Arabidopsis thaliana: one gene and its partner. The protein of the gene in region 2 interacts with the protein of the main gene of each other region in a pairwise test. Each region holds a gene or a part of one and is shown on either strand. Other genes may lie near its edges. The genes, in order: AT1G64590 and AT5G25570.

Evidence for each region.
Region 1: the proteins of AT5G25570 (region 2) and AT1G64590 interact in a two-hybrid assay, tested with the Arabidopsis thaliana proteins (one large-scale study listed by BioGRID).

What each region holds. Positions count from the first base shown.
Region 1 is NC_003070.9:23,990,003-23,997,088, reverse strand, and holds AT1G64590 (NAD(P)-binding Rossmann-fold superfamily protein), read right to left. Parts: upstream 3,613-7,086; 5' UTR 3,498-3,612; coding exon 3,377-3,497; intron 3,280-3,376; coding exon 3,048-3,279; intron 2,951-3,047; coding exon 2,871-2,950; intron 2,781-2,870; coding exon 2,624-2,780; intron 2,390-2,623; coding exon 2,308-2,389; intron 2,222-2,307; coding exon 1,889-2,221; 3' UTR 1,580-1,888; downstream 1-1,579. Other genes in the region: AT1G64600 (copper ion binding / methyltransferase), read right to left, coding at 27-110, 212-312, 396-490, 565-638, 716-1,093; RTFL22 (ROTUNDIFOLIA like 22), read left to right, coding at 6,992-7,086.
Region 2 is NC_003076.8:8,898,553-8,905,638, reverse strand, and holds AT5G25570 (polyamine-modulated factor 1-binding protein), read right to left. Parts: upstream 3,885-7,086; 5' UTR 3,808-3,884; coding exon 3,714-3,807; intron 3,650-3,713; coding exon 3,592-3,649; intron 3,069-3,591; coding exon 2,979-3,068; intron 2,902-2,978; coding exon 2,748-2,901; 3' UTR 2,742-2,747; exon of another isoform or gene 2,654-2,741; 3' UTR 2,423-2,653; downstream 1-2,422. Other genes in the region: AT5G25580 (uncharacterized protein), read right to left, coding at 74-116, 209-329, 417-509, 596-734, 832-938, 1,081-1,162, 1,243-1,280, 1,363-1,449 and 2 more; AT5G25560 (CHY-type/CTCHY-type/RING-type Zinc finger protein), read right to left, coding at 4,248-4,358, 4,442-4,553, 4,642-4,733, 4,827-4,909, 5,018-5,058, 5,153-5,196, 5,339-5,416, 5,522-5,584 and 3 more.

The DNA of each region.
Region 1 (7,086 bases), on a different chromosome or scaffold from region 2:
AAAGATGAAAAAACTCAAAGACATACCAAGAGATCATCTGTAAGGTCCCAGAGCTGGCGAACCACAGTAATCCTGTCTTTCAGAGATGGTATCTCCCCTAACACATAGGACTTAACCACAACAGAATTTTTTTTGGAAAACATGCTCAGTAAAAAAACAAACTTGTAAACAAGAATCATAGCTAATGCGAGTGATAAAAGAGATAACCCACAGCGATGACAAGATCATGTTTCCTCTCAGACTTTTTGTTGATCTCTTTATTAAGAGCTAGCAGGCTAGTATACCCATGGATCAGAGGCAAATCCTTAAGGCCTATCATATTCACAACAATGGCAAAGATCAGAATCAATCACTACACTCAAGTGTTTAGCCAGAGACTATCAAAGTGAAATTACCCTGGATTAAGTTACGTCCTGCACGCTGCATTGATTGAGATGGTTCCACTATATTTACTTTCTCCACAGACTTAGGCCAAACCTCTTTAACCGCCCTGCAAGATGTTACAACGAATCAATAATCAAAATAAAACTACCAAAGATAACAGGGAAACATCTATCTCCTCACCAGAAACCTGAACCAGTGCCAGCACCAAAATCCAGCACTCTTGTAGGCGTAAAACCTGGTACTCTTCGACGAATCTATATAAGAATTTAACAAATCTCAAGCTCAATTCTCTACACAACTATCCCAAATGGTATCACCAATGAGAAAGTACCTCGATGAGGACTCTATAGCAGACGGAAAAGACGGCAGGCATACGAGAAGCAATGTAAGCAGCAGTCTCACCGTCTCTGTATTGGAGACCGCTATCTCCATAAACGGTTTGTATCTTCCATCGTTTGGTCTCTAGCGAGTTCATAGAATCAGCCAGACTCTTGGCCGTGGTTTCAGGTAACTGAAGATTGGTGTCCTTGATCTCTTGGAATGATTCCGATAACTGACGCACCTTCTTCCTAATGTGAGGATCATCTTCCTCGCGGAGATATTTCTTAATAGCGCGGCGGAGACGGACGGGGACGACTAGGCAGCGGAGACACTGTTTCGATGCAGATCTTAGGGTTTCTACAGTGAAGACTTTCTGGGCATTCGCCATTTTCAGCCGGAGCTTGAACTGAAATGGAAGTTGCAGGAGGAGCCGAGAGGTTTTAGCCTCCGAGGAGGGTCTAGGGCTTAGCGTTATGGGCCTTTCAAAGAGCCAAATGTTTCTATAATGGGCCTAATGAGGCCTTTATTATAGCAGTGATTAGTGATTATTCGAGATCCATTTGACGAGTTGTTGACAAATCGAAATTTGGTATGTATTTTGAAAAGGAACCAAATTAGGCTTGTGGATAGGATTTCATTTCATTCTTTGGAGGAGGGTCTAGGGCTTAGCGTGATGGGCCTTTGAAAGACCAAATGATTATTTAATGGGCCTAAAAGCCCTTTATTATAGCAGTGACTAGCATTATTGGCCCATTTGAAGAGTGGTTGCTAATATTGCAAAGGAACCATATTTGGATTGTGTGGATGGATATGATTTCATTTCAGTGATCAACAGAAATAAACAAATTTTTATAAGAGTATCAAGATCAAGATTATGAAATTCTGTGATGTTTTTGATTGATATATGTATATATTACATAACAAGGACCTAGCTAGCTAGGATTACAAAACCCTACAAGCTAAGTAATATATATATATATATATATTAGCAATAATGTCAAACCATAACCACATATTAAATATAGGGAGGCTTGCTATATGCACACGTAACACAACTACACACACACATCCCATTTCATCTATAGTATATATTTCTATAACTATATATATTATAAAGCTAATTATATTACTATATATAGGGCTTAAGATTTACACGTAGAAAATAGCTAGGATGGTTTGTTGGTTAAAAGGAGGTATGAGAAAGATTGGTAGTGGAATTAGGTGGAGAAACCAACAAGTCAGAAGCAGTCCAGAGTCTCTGAGCTTTGAGATTGCATGACCCGGATTTAGATGACCTAGCTTCGTTGCAGTCGGAGAAGTACTTGCCACACACGTTCCTCAATCTTGGACTTGTTGCCACGTAACATGTCGTAGCTGCTGCCTGAGGAACAGACTTCAATAGCTTGGATGTCAAGAAAAACACTAAATCAGTGACGACGCCTTCTCGATCTCTTGTGAGACGGGTTTTCACGATACCAGGATGAACACAATTGGCCGTCACATTCGCATCCATTTTCTGCATATATATTGTAGTTTATTATTAGAAATGAGGAGATAAATTGTTACTTCCTACCAAATAGTTAAATTTGTATAATAACGTACATGGAGAAGCCGTGATAGCTCAACAGTGTGGAGCACGTTGGCGAGCTTGGAGAGAGCGTAGGCTCGAGTCGCGTCGTAATTTCTGTAAAACGCAAAGTTAAAGCTATAATTAGTGGGTCAAACTCAAGTCACAAAGTATAAACTATTATTATTCTCTCTGAAAATATGATTTTAAATAAAGGAAAAAGACGAGAGGACGACGGCGTTTATTTTTGTCGTCGCATCACCTTTTTGTTGTACTTATTATTAAACAATGATTAATTATTCGCTATATGATTGGAATGATATTTTCTAGCTTATACTAATTAAAAATTACCTATTGTTTCGTGAGATATCGGCGAGATATTGCAACATATCACCGGAAAACCAGCTATGGACGACGGACGTGACGTTGACGATACGGCCTTGCACGCCGGTTTGTGCCGCCGTTTCAATCATCTTCTTTAACAGCAGTTTAGTCAGCAGAAAATGGCCTAAACACACCATGAATTACTATTAGAGAACATATAAATCAATGAATGATATATTATAAGTCAATGATGGATTTATGAAAACTTAATTACCGAGATAATTAGTAGCGAAGGTCATCTCCACACCGTCCTCAGAGAGGGCATGCTTATGCGCATATTTCCCAGCATTGTTTCTGTTACAAACACAAACCAAAAAAGTTTACAAAAGGTTAGAAAAAATCAGATAAAAACATTTTCGCTATATGATTATGAAGATAGAGTTTAAATTACATGAGGATGTTGAGTGGGAGATTGAGAGATTCGAAATCGTCCACGAATCGACGAACAGAGGTAAGTGAGCTGAGATCAAGATGCATAACGATGATCTCCGCATCAGGAAACTCCGACAGTATACGAGCCTTTGTTTCCTCGGCGGTTTTGACGCTTCTAGCCGGAAGCACAAGTCTTGCGCCACGCTTAGCAAGAACACGCGCCGTCTCAGCTCCTATCCCCGACGTCGCGCCTAGTAGAAAAGAAACAGAGAGACTATTAGTTAGGAAACTCATTTTGCGACTCGGTTAAGTTGAAAAAGAAGAAGTAACTTTAAGTTTATGACTAACCAGTGATGATGGCAGTTAGAGAACGGAGATCAGAATTACAAGTGACATGATCGGCGGTGGATCTTGACCCGAATCCGCTGGGACCACCGGAGCCGATCAGGTGTTTAACCGTCTCAATCATCTTTTTCTATATTTTCTCTCGGTTTCGGTTATGGGAGAGCAGTTGAGTTTGAGTGTTGGGGTTTTGGTCTTAGGGTGATGAGACTATTTATAGTGCTACATCTTTGAGGAACAAATGCGGATAAAGGGAGACAACATTTTTTTATGTTGTATCATTCTTAATGTTTTTGTAAAAAAAAACGAGTAAAAATAATTAGTGTATAAAATTTGGTTTTGATTGGCACCAAAACAAGTTAAAACGGAGTAATTTGATTAAAATAAAAGGTTTAGTTAGCCAACTCTATTTGACTAAGAGGAATGATAGAGGAAGATGAATCATATAGCAAAATTATAATTGAAATTTATGTGAATACAAACCATAATCGTCCAAAATATATAAAGAAAAACTGTAATATAAAAGCAGAAACAATGCATAGATAGTGCCTTGTTTTGGGTAACACTCACTATTTACTAATGATGTCCAACTTTCTAATGGTATTATCCTCCGAATCTTTACATTTTAAATATGGTCCCCCTCCTATACTTTTATAATCATCATAAGAAGTGAAGGAAACTCTATCTCCCAGACCTAGTCACACACTCTATTGAAAAGTGCAGGTTTATCTACATGGACCTAAGATGTATCCAATTTTCATTTACAAAATGTATAAACCCAACTGTAGGGATGATGGTCTTATTACATACAAGTTTCTCAACTCCATAGAGCGTTTACAGTTATTTGTATGTAAATAACTGTAATACTTGTATACCGCGCTACAATAATTGTTATGAATGCTACAAGTGCATTTAGGACCGCTTATACTCTAAACGAAGGAATATAACAAAGACTTGATCCTTTTTTAAAGCCTCTTATAATATATCATTTGTATATGATTCATACATCAAACACGTAGTTAAAGTGATATTTTCAGAATATTCTTAAATTCCACCTTTAGGTAAATTGTCTTGTAGTTAATTTTCCTTTGTAAAATTGTAAGTGGTTGAAGCAAAAGATACGGTGGAGAATGGCACAATAGAGTAAGCTAATTGGTCTCTCTGTTCTTGGAGGATCCAATCCGTCAATGGATGAGAAGAAGATCTTCAAGCCTCAATATGAAATTCATCATAAAGTAATCTTACCCAAATCCAACTACTACCCACTAACAATTCCACTAATTTCTATTTTTATTTTTATTTATAATATGTTTCAACTCTATATACATGTGTCCTATTTGCAGGTCCAGAATGATCCATCTAATTAGTATTAAAAATTTTCCTCATAATTATAAATCATCTTACGTCAAATTCAATATAAGGATAATCTTGAAGTTTTCTCATCAAGATAGAATATTACTTTACAGAGAAATTGAATATAATTAGTAAGTTATCAGATTATTTAATTTGCATCATGTCCTTTAATTGTAGAAGAATTTGCAAAGATACATTAGGTTATGGAATACATATTCAAATGTATTTATATGAAAAAAAAATCATCTCATGAAAAAAAGAGAGAAAAGTTGCTATCATTTCACTATATAGAGACCACGTTTCGTCTACAAAACAATGATTTACGTTTTGTGAATCTATTATACATATTTTCAATGATCTACATTTTGTGAATCTATCATAAATATTTTCAATGATTGGTCTTAAATTTTGAAAGATTTATGGATCGAAAATTCATTTCTTTTTTCTCTCTATTAAAGAAAAAGGTGGTCCAACCTCCAAGAATCAATAATTAAGCAAATTTTGCAGGATATAATATGAATGATACAAGAGACGTAGAGATAAACTCAAAATTGATGAAGTGTTTTGAATAAATAAACTCCTCCACCTTGGGAGGCGTTGTCTCTTCCAAGGATCCCACACTAAAAAAAAATATGATCGTTGGGTGAGAGACGTTGAATATACATTATATACAACTTTTTGATTAATGGGAATAAGAAAAGAGACTCCTCCACCTTTGGAATTGGAACGACCTTGACAATGTTGGAATCTTTGCTTTATGTATAAAACGGGTTAGGTTGTGTAATTGGACACCAACTTGCCAAGAGAGAGTTGGTCACATCCTTTTTCTATTTGGCATGCCACTATTGCTACCATTTTTATCTTGTTATTAACCAATCATTTTATTAGTTTTATTGGTAGCCTTTTGGAGAACTATTACATATATTCAAGCTATTATGGTCCATACAGTCTGGGATTTTTGTGAGTGGCTACCTGATTCTCTCTTTTGTAATCAGTTTCATACTCTTTTCTTCCATGAATGGTTAGATTCTAATATTTGTTGACCGACGCTATTTTTTATATAAAAAGAATCTACATATAAATATACTTTTTTTTTTTGCTTAAGTTGGTATAATTAACGCCCGTTCCTTATGCTACTATATCACAAGCTGAATTAGCAAGATACATACTCAAATCAGTCAATCTTAAGGACTATTTCTATGATTTTGTGGTTTGAACGAAAAATTGTTGGAAACATTGGTTACTTACTTGCCTACTTGGTAAATCCTCTTGATAGATCACAACAACATGTATTGGTCTTCTTGTTACAACAATACATAAAAAAAAATATAGAGAAATCCAACCGGGTCGAGTGAATGTTATTGTAAGTTTGTAACTTTGTGGTTTTACACGTTGACTATATATTAGACTTGAATAACTTGTGGCGGGCGATATATCCTATAAAGTTTTAAAAAATGATTTCTTTAATCGATACGTTTTTGAATTTTTGATAGTGTGATGTATAAGTGTAGATCCCTTACGTCTTAATACAAGATCGTATCTTGGTTTTAATTTATAATAATATTAATCACATTAAAATAAGTAAGCACGAGTTTCGTTGATCAAAGCACAGCCACGAGATTCATGAGCTATGGATTTACATGAAACGTCTCCGTGTTAAATACCTAGTCAGATTCAACCTTCAAAAATTTTCAAAGAAAATTATACTTGAACCATTATCGAAGATCTTTAACGCCTAAATTAATTATGAATTTCAAGTGATCAAGATTTCTACGCAAACTAATAGTAATAAATAATATATTAGAGAAAGACAAGAAAGTGAGGGCCAAAATTTTTACGAGTTTATGATTCATTTTCCAAGGCATGCATGCCTAAAACCAGGGTATTATATTGACTTGAGGTAGTAAGAAAAAAATGCAGAGTTATAATTAAAAATCAACGGACAAGTGTAAGGTGAAACAACTGACAATTGATGGAAGTTTGTCATTTTGAGGAGAGACAGAAAAATGAGTAAAGTAACGGTTGTGTTTTGCAGAAGACAGTTACTCTGGACGGTTGGTTTGAAGAGACTGATCCTAATAGAGTAGTAATATGCAGCACGACAAAACAGAAAAACCCCTGAAATGCACAATACCAATCAAATCCTTAGTTGAAGTCTTTGCCTGAGTCTCTTGTTTCACATTCATCTTAATGACTCAGAGAAAACATACCCTGAACCAACTTATTATAAAGGGGGAAAGAAAAGTTGGCTTTTGATGGGCACATAAGATGATTGTGAAGTTGATGGGGTCAAACAAGGATTTGCATAGGCAAGCGAAGAACAACAACAACAAGCTGACTCCAAATCGGTCCTTGAAGGAGAC
Region 2 (7,086 bases):
GAAAATACTATCTCATATGTGCTAAATATTGGTGGATAGATGACTTGGATTAAGAAAGAAGTCAAGTTCTTACTCTGTTTCTTCCACGGCATCACTGATCATCTTGTCATACTCGTCTGGATAATAAGATATGCAAACTAATAAGCCACGCCAACAGGTAAATAATATATCAAACAAGCGGAAGAAACGCAAGAAAATATGACTATACCAAAGGTGTAAGTAGCAGGCATGTGGTTACGACAAGAACGAGTAGTTCGGAGAGGACGCGAGAAATTGACATTAACGACCATCTCTTCCTTCATTTTCTTTTTTATGGCCCTTTCTCTCTTCTGTTATTGCAATAAAAATTGAAACACCATAAAAAACATGATATAGCAGATATGTGCATAAACATAAAGAAGGAATTTGAGAGATACTTTATGATATTTCTCAACAACGGGTATAGCTTCTGTCTCAATCATCTGCCCAGTTGCAGCCAAAGAAGAAGCTTTGCTTGATGATAACTCTCTCTGCCATTACAGGACATACTTAATGAATGAAAAATAGTTCCACACATCTTAAAGAGGAGAAGCATAAACAACAATCAAAATCTTACAGCGACACTCTGAAATTCATCTAGATTGGTTGCTTCAGTTTCCCAGCTCAAACAAGATAAATCTGAGCCAGCATTCTTCTTTGAGATTCCATTGACTTCCCTATATAATCTGTAACCTTGGATATCATTACCATCAAACCTAGAACGAAATTAAAAAAAAAAAGATAAAAGTTGATCACATTCACACCAGATGTAGTAACATAGAAAGAAGTGATAGGACAAGTAAGTGTAACTACCAATAAGAAGTCTTCTTTCCATCTCCTCCTAGCTTCCTCTTGCGTAAACTAGAATCCCAGTCTCCTTCCTTGGTATTTTCTTGAATATACGAACGTGCATCATCTTGCTACACCATCCACCAATGGAAACAAGACGATGAGTAACAAATGCAACTAGTAATGATATAGTTTTTTCTTTCCATATGTGTAACCAAAGAGGCATGCATTAAAAATACACTTCAACAACTTAAATGAAGAGAAGAAAATTACTTGAACTCGAAGCTCACAAAGTGCCTTCAAAATCTTCAGGCGGTTAATAGAGTCAAGTCCTTGGTATTCAGATATTTCCTCCCTATTCATACATCAGAAGAGAAGAAAGTTGTTATCAATACCAACTCAACCTGAATAAATTCACATTATTTCACCACTTACCCTTTGTTAACAGTAATATGAATTTCACCCTTAGCAATCTGCAACAATGACATTACAGGAGTCAATAAAGAAAACCACAGAGAAGATATAAGCTAACAAAAGAGTTCAGTGTGGCCTTACCCATGGCCACCATGGAGCTAGTTTCTTACACAACACCGTGATCCATGCATTTGCATCGTCAAGCGTTTTATTCACCGGTGGTATCCCCTGTTGAAAAATTCACATCCAGAAGGTTTCTTATAAGGCAACAAACACATAAACTTGAGCTTGTTAGATACCATTAACAGCTGCAAGGTCAATAACAGAACAAAAATCAAAAACCTTCAAAAGTGCAATGTGAAGCTGAGCATTTGTAGTGTTGGACTCGATAAGACCCATCTCAATTTCTTCAGCTGTGAACTTCAATTTCTCCGAGACAAGTGGTCCAAAGACCTATCACAATTCACAACAACAAAAAACTCTTTAGCAAAATCACATGACCAACGATGCAAAATGTTTAATTTCCCATGAAATTGAAGCATGCAAGAAGCAAAAGCTCTAACAAATCCCTAGAATCTACTACATGAGAGAGAGAAAGAAAGAATATTCCGTTTACAACGAAGATTCATCTGAAAAAGGCAAAATCGAATCCTTTGGTATGTACGACTAAGAGGTTCATTACATTGAAGAAATTGAGAACCGAAGCAAGTTCCCAACGTCCACGCAAGTGCTTCACCGCCGAATCGGAGGAAGAATCGTTGTCTGAATCGGAGGAAAGAATCGTTAAGTCTTCGCAGAGTCGTTCTTCTTCCTTCTTCTGTTCCGGTTCTCCGGTGACCACCATCGTCCTCTGGCGGAGCGTTACCATTTTCGTCGGAGAGAGAAAGTGGAAGATGAATGGGTTTTTGTGGGAGTGGAAAATGTATAAAATTGGAGAATTTTTCTGGGGGAATTCTCCCGCCAAAAGAGGAAATGATTTTACTATTTACTAATTTACCCTACAACACCCTAGGGCTATTAATTTCCCTTTTTGTTCTTCCTTGTATTTTCTTATATTTCTATTTTAGTCCCTTTATTCTGGAAAAATTAGTAATTCGGCTTTTATTTCTTTTTGCTCTAGTTGGACACGACTTGAACACATAATTGATTCCTTATACTAAACTTACGGCCCAAAGAAATTCTATCATATACTACATAATTCTGACAAGTTGAGCAGATACTTATTCCATTTGTTATCTGTTTTTACGAGTTTTTCACTTGAATACGAATATATACTGCATACTGGATTCACACTTTGTGATAAAAGTTTCAGTAATAGCAATGTAAAGCTAATACGACCTTATATATGTGGATCCAAAACCAAACCAGTGAGAGTCTTTGTTGACATTTCTAATATTTCCTTTACCTGATATAGTTTCTTCATGAGCATCACCTGATACATGAGGAAGTGGATCAGGTAATAATGAATTTAGCAGTTTCATTGTTTAAGTGAAGCTGTGAAGAGGTTTAAAATCGAGTACTTGGATTTAGCCTCGGCTGTTGCTTAGCATGTCTAGAATAGTGTAAGCAGCTTTCTGAAACTGGTCTTTCTCTTCCTCGAGGATCCTTTTCTTCTCCATAGCAAAATCCTTTGATTTCTCAATCTCTTCCTTGATTCCAACCGAGTTTTGATCGATTTCACTGCAGGGAAGGCACTGGATCAGCACTCAGCAGAAATAGTCATTCGTTGTAGTAAACAGAAGATAAACAATACTTACTAAACCATCTTGAGCATATTCTCCATCCCCATCTGAACTTGCTGTGACATTTCTGCAATTGCGTTTGTTTTCAACACAGTCAGGAGATGGCTAAAGAAGTAGACACACAACACTGACTTGTAGTCTCAATCCATCAACTGATTCTAATCCATGAAACATATAATGATAAACCTTTAAAACGAGTTATGGTGTTTGCTAATATGCAATTGAACAAGCCAAAGAGTTAAAGGATAGTGTATCGAGAGCATACAGAATTCGCGAAATAGACACAACATTGACTTGTAATCTCAATCCACCCACTGGTGATCTAATCCATGAAACGTTTAACAAGGTTTACTAATTCAATTTGCATAAGCCAAAAGGTTAAAGAAGAGTGTATAGAGAGTATACAGAATCTGGATGACAAAATATAGCAACTCTGAGATACCAAAATTGATAAAACCAACGAAAATGCACATCTTTCACTCTAAGTATCACCTACAGATCTATTTGCGAGAGAAGCAACGAACAATGGCGGATTCTAATACACATCTCGATTCCACAGTTTTTTAAGCGAAATCAAGATTAGATGAAGCGATTAAGCCATTAAGTAAGCACAAATCTCGTTAAATACCAAATCATAAGAGCATTTGACTTCACAAACATGAAGAACTCACGCTTAATCCTGATTTCTAGGTCAGTCGAAATTCGAAATTGGATGAACAAGGATCAGAGGAAAAGGAGGAAAAAACAAACCGAAGACGAGAGACGTCAGATCCGAATCAGCTTGCTGACCAGGAGATTGATGAGCAACAAGCTGTGCATCACTCTGCGATGGTGATTCCGCCATTATCGCCGAGAGAGAGTCAGAGAGATTTCAAAAAGAGAGAGGTTTCGTATCTAAGCGAGGAAACGGATATATTTTTGAGACGTGTGCTTTTGGCCTTTAATAAGAGTCTCTAAACCTATTAATATATGCGAGCAGCTAAAATTTTTTATTCATACAAGTTCAAATTTTTTAGGGTTTTTAACAGATTAAACGAAACTTTTCAATAAAGCCGCAGAATTACAAAGGAGATGAATCACAATGGAAACTAACCAGACCATCAAACAACACCAAGGAAACATATAGACTAGTGAACAAGAGACGACTCAGAGAATATTGAAGAAGAGAGTGAGAAGAGATAGACTCGAGAGACCCAGTCCTCAAGTTAAGGATCCAATGACACTATTGGATCAAGTGAAAAGCTCTTAATTGCATTTGATAGCAAATCAACTTCAAAAAAAGCTTCAGCCTCTGGTTTGGCGAGTGTTGTATGATTTGCAGTTTGGGCATTTCTGAGCCACCACATGGTACTGTACCTCTGCTTTCTTCCCACAGTCGTTGCAGAGAATCTGAACCTGTTTTTGTCACCGTCAAAAAGACTTTTAGTTCTTGGTTAGGGGATAAGGTGTAACTAAGTAAGTTTTGTTCTCATACTGACCATTCTGTTCTGGTATGGTTCTGGCATTGGTGTAGCCGCAATCTCCATGTCAAACTTCTCCCACACTTTTGACATGTCGCATACAGATTTTGAGCAAAGTGGGCACGCATATCTGCAGGCATAGTTTGGAGTTGTCAGTTGATATATACAACAACATTTCAAAATGGAACACAAGCCCCTGAATTTTATAATGTACTTACTGGTAATGATCTCTCATTTCCTCCAAGCACTTCTGATGAATTGTGTGTCCACATGGTAAAACCGTCACATCGTTCCGTGATTCAAACAGAAACTGGAAGAAAACCAGCCAGGACAGTTTTTGTTAACAAAGGGACGCTCATGTTTACAGTGGAGAAGTAGAACAAAAACCAACAATAAGTAATACCTCAAAGCAAATGGGGCAGTCGTGATGCATTGCTCCTTCGACACAAGGGTGACCGTTCTTGAGGAGGATTGAATAACAACAGCCTGGTTTGAGAATCAGAGAGCTGGTTAGATTGTAAAAATCAACAAATATAGCGGTGCCCAATCGGAAAATTTGAGGTTATCTGAAATCTGATGCAGTAAATGGCTTACCACACTTGTAACAGTGAAAGAAATTTTCACGTCCTCCGATTCTGAAACGAAAAAGAGATTTTAGTTATGAACAAATATATATCGTGTGGATTAAATCAAACATGTTGTATGTTAAAGAGAAGTCCAAGAATGTACCTGCAAATTCCACACCCATCGCAGTGGTACTGTTTTTTAGACGTCTGGAAACAAGATAAGCAACATAATGGTTAACCATTAACAACAAAAAAAAGCCTGGAAAACTCAGGGCATGGTATATAGCATAAGAAAAAGGATATGGATACAACAAACAAGCTTAGCAATAAGTTCTCCTCAGAGACTTACATCATCATCGTAGAGCTTGCAGACTTTACAGAAGTACTTCCCCATGCACACTCCACAGTGGATACAAATTTGGCCCACCTGGTACCAGAGAAAATACAGAGTTACATCTCCAACAAAGTTAAGAAAATGTCTGATTACTAAACGCAGAAAAAATCCAGAGAAAGTGTAAGAGTTAAAACATACCTCTTGTTCAGTACCACAAAGTAAACAAATAACCTGTGAAGAAGAAGATAGAGGTCTTGTCAACTGGGAATTGAACATAAAATAATAACTCCGAGAAACCAAGATATATAGACTACTTTACCTGTTCAACTTGGTGGCGAGGAATATCATGCCTCTGCTTCTGATCTACATTTATGTTGTTCTGCTCCAAAGACATGATTGCAAGAGTAAGTATACAGATTTTGTGAAAACAGCGGTTACAAAAAGTAGTTTCCTGAAATCTATAACTTGAAAAAAGCCTCTACCTTCGCCTCATAATGACAGTGATGGCAACCAAAGATCTCATTACAGCAAGGAGCTCTAATGCAACACCTTCTTCTGTAATGTGGACATCTGCAAGAACATAGGGGTATTCATCCAAGAAACAAGCTCAAAGCTAAGAATATACAAATAGGGAGTAAAACCTACCCATACTCCATTAGTCCTCTATCAAGGACTTTGTTTGTTAATGACTCTGCTGCTACCCTTTCCAGAGTTGACGACTCAGATTCTTCATTGATTGAATGAGGGTGTGAATGTCTTGACATTTCACCCTTCTCTTGGTCAGACATCTGCAGTTGCTGAGCGAAATGGTTGAAATATACGTCTCCCATTACGAATTATCTGTCTGTGATATTGGCAGATACTGCTAGTTGATGGAAAGCTTATGAAACCTGCAAGTAAGAAAATATTTAGAAAATCTATTCCTCATTTCGCAAACATTATCAGTCACCTGAAAATCCAGCAAAAAAACTCGATGAACTGTTGCTTCCATCTACATTGCACCACACCAAGACAATCCATTTTTGAAACAGCTCCAATCAGCTTTCTCCAAGAGGAACAATCACCAAAACAAGAAGATCTACAAATACCCTGTTAAACAACTAAAAACAGCCCTCTTGGTTGATGGAGCTTTCATAGAGAAATAAAAGCTTAGCACATTGAGTGTTCACTTCAGTCCTTCAATCTTGGGAAATCTATCCAGTTTCAACCGGATATGACCAACCTATCGTAAAAGCAAGGCAAACACCATCAAACAAGGTTTGGGACTGACATAAAACTTGGGATAACCGGGTTTTAAAGAGATGGGTAAGTGTCCAAAGAGGATAGACCTACCTCCCACTGCCACTTTGCACCAGATCTCTTCAGTCAACATACGAATCAGAAATTTCTTTAAGGAAACAAAGGCTTGAAGGGTACTCCTAGTTAATGGACCCCCATCTTTAAAGCTGACCTGTTTTGGCTTGACCTAAATGGTAACCCCATAATCGAAGGAATAAAAATCTTCTGATGCCGTTACCCGGAAAAATTCTACTAGCAAGTTCACAAGATCCGCATGGAGCAAAAACTTCATCATGGACAACAACGAGATATGCTCTAAGGGAAACTCACTATGGAGACCATAGCTGAGATAAGCAGACTACAAACAAAGTGAGCATTCATGCCGCCTTCTTGAAGAATAACTAAGAGGAACCTCTGTTAATCCACCATAGATGAGATGACAAAAAAAAAGAACACTCTTGGCCAAATCAGAGATGATTAAAGAG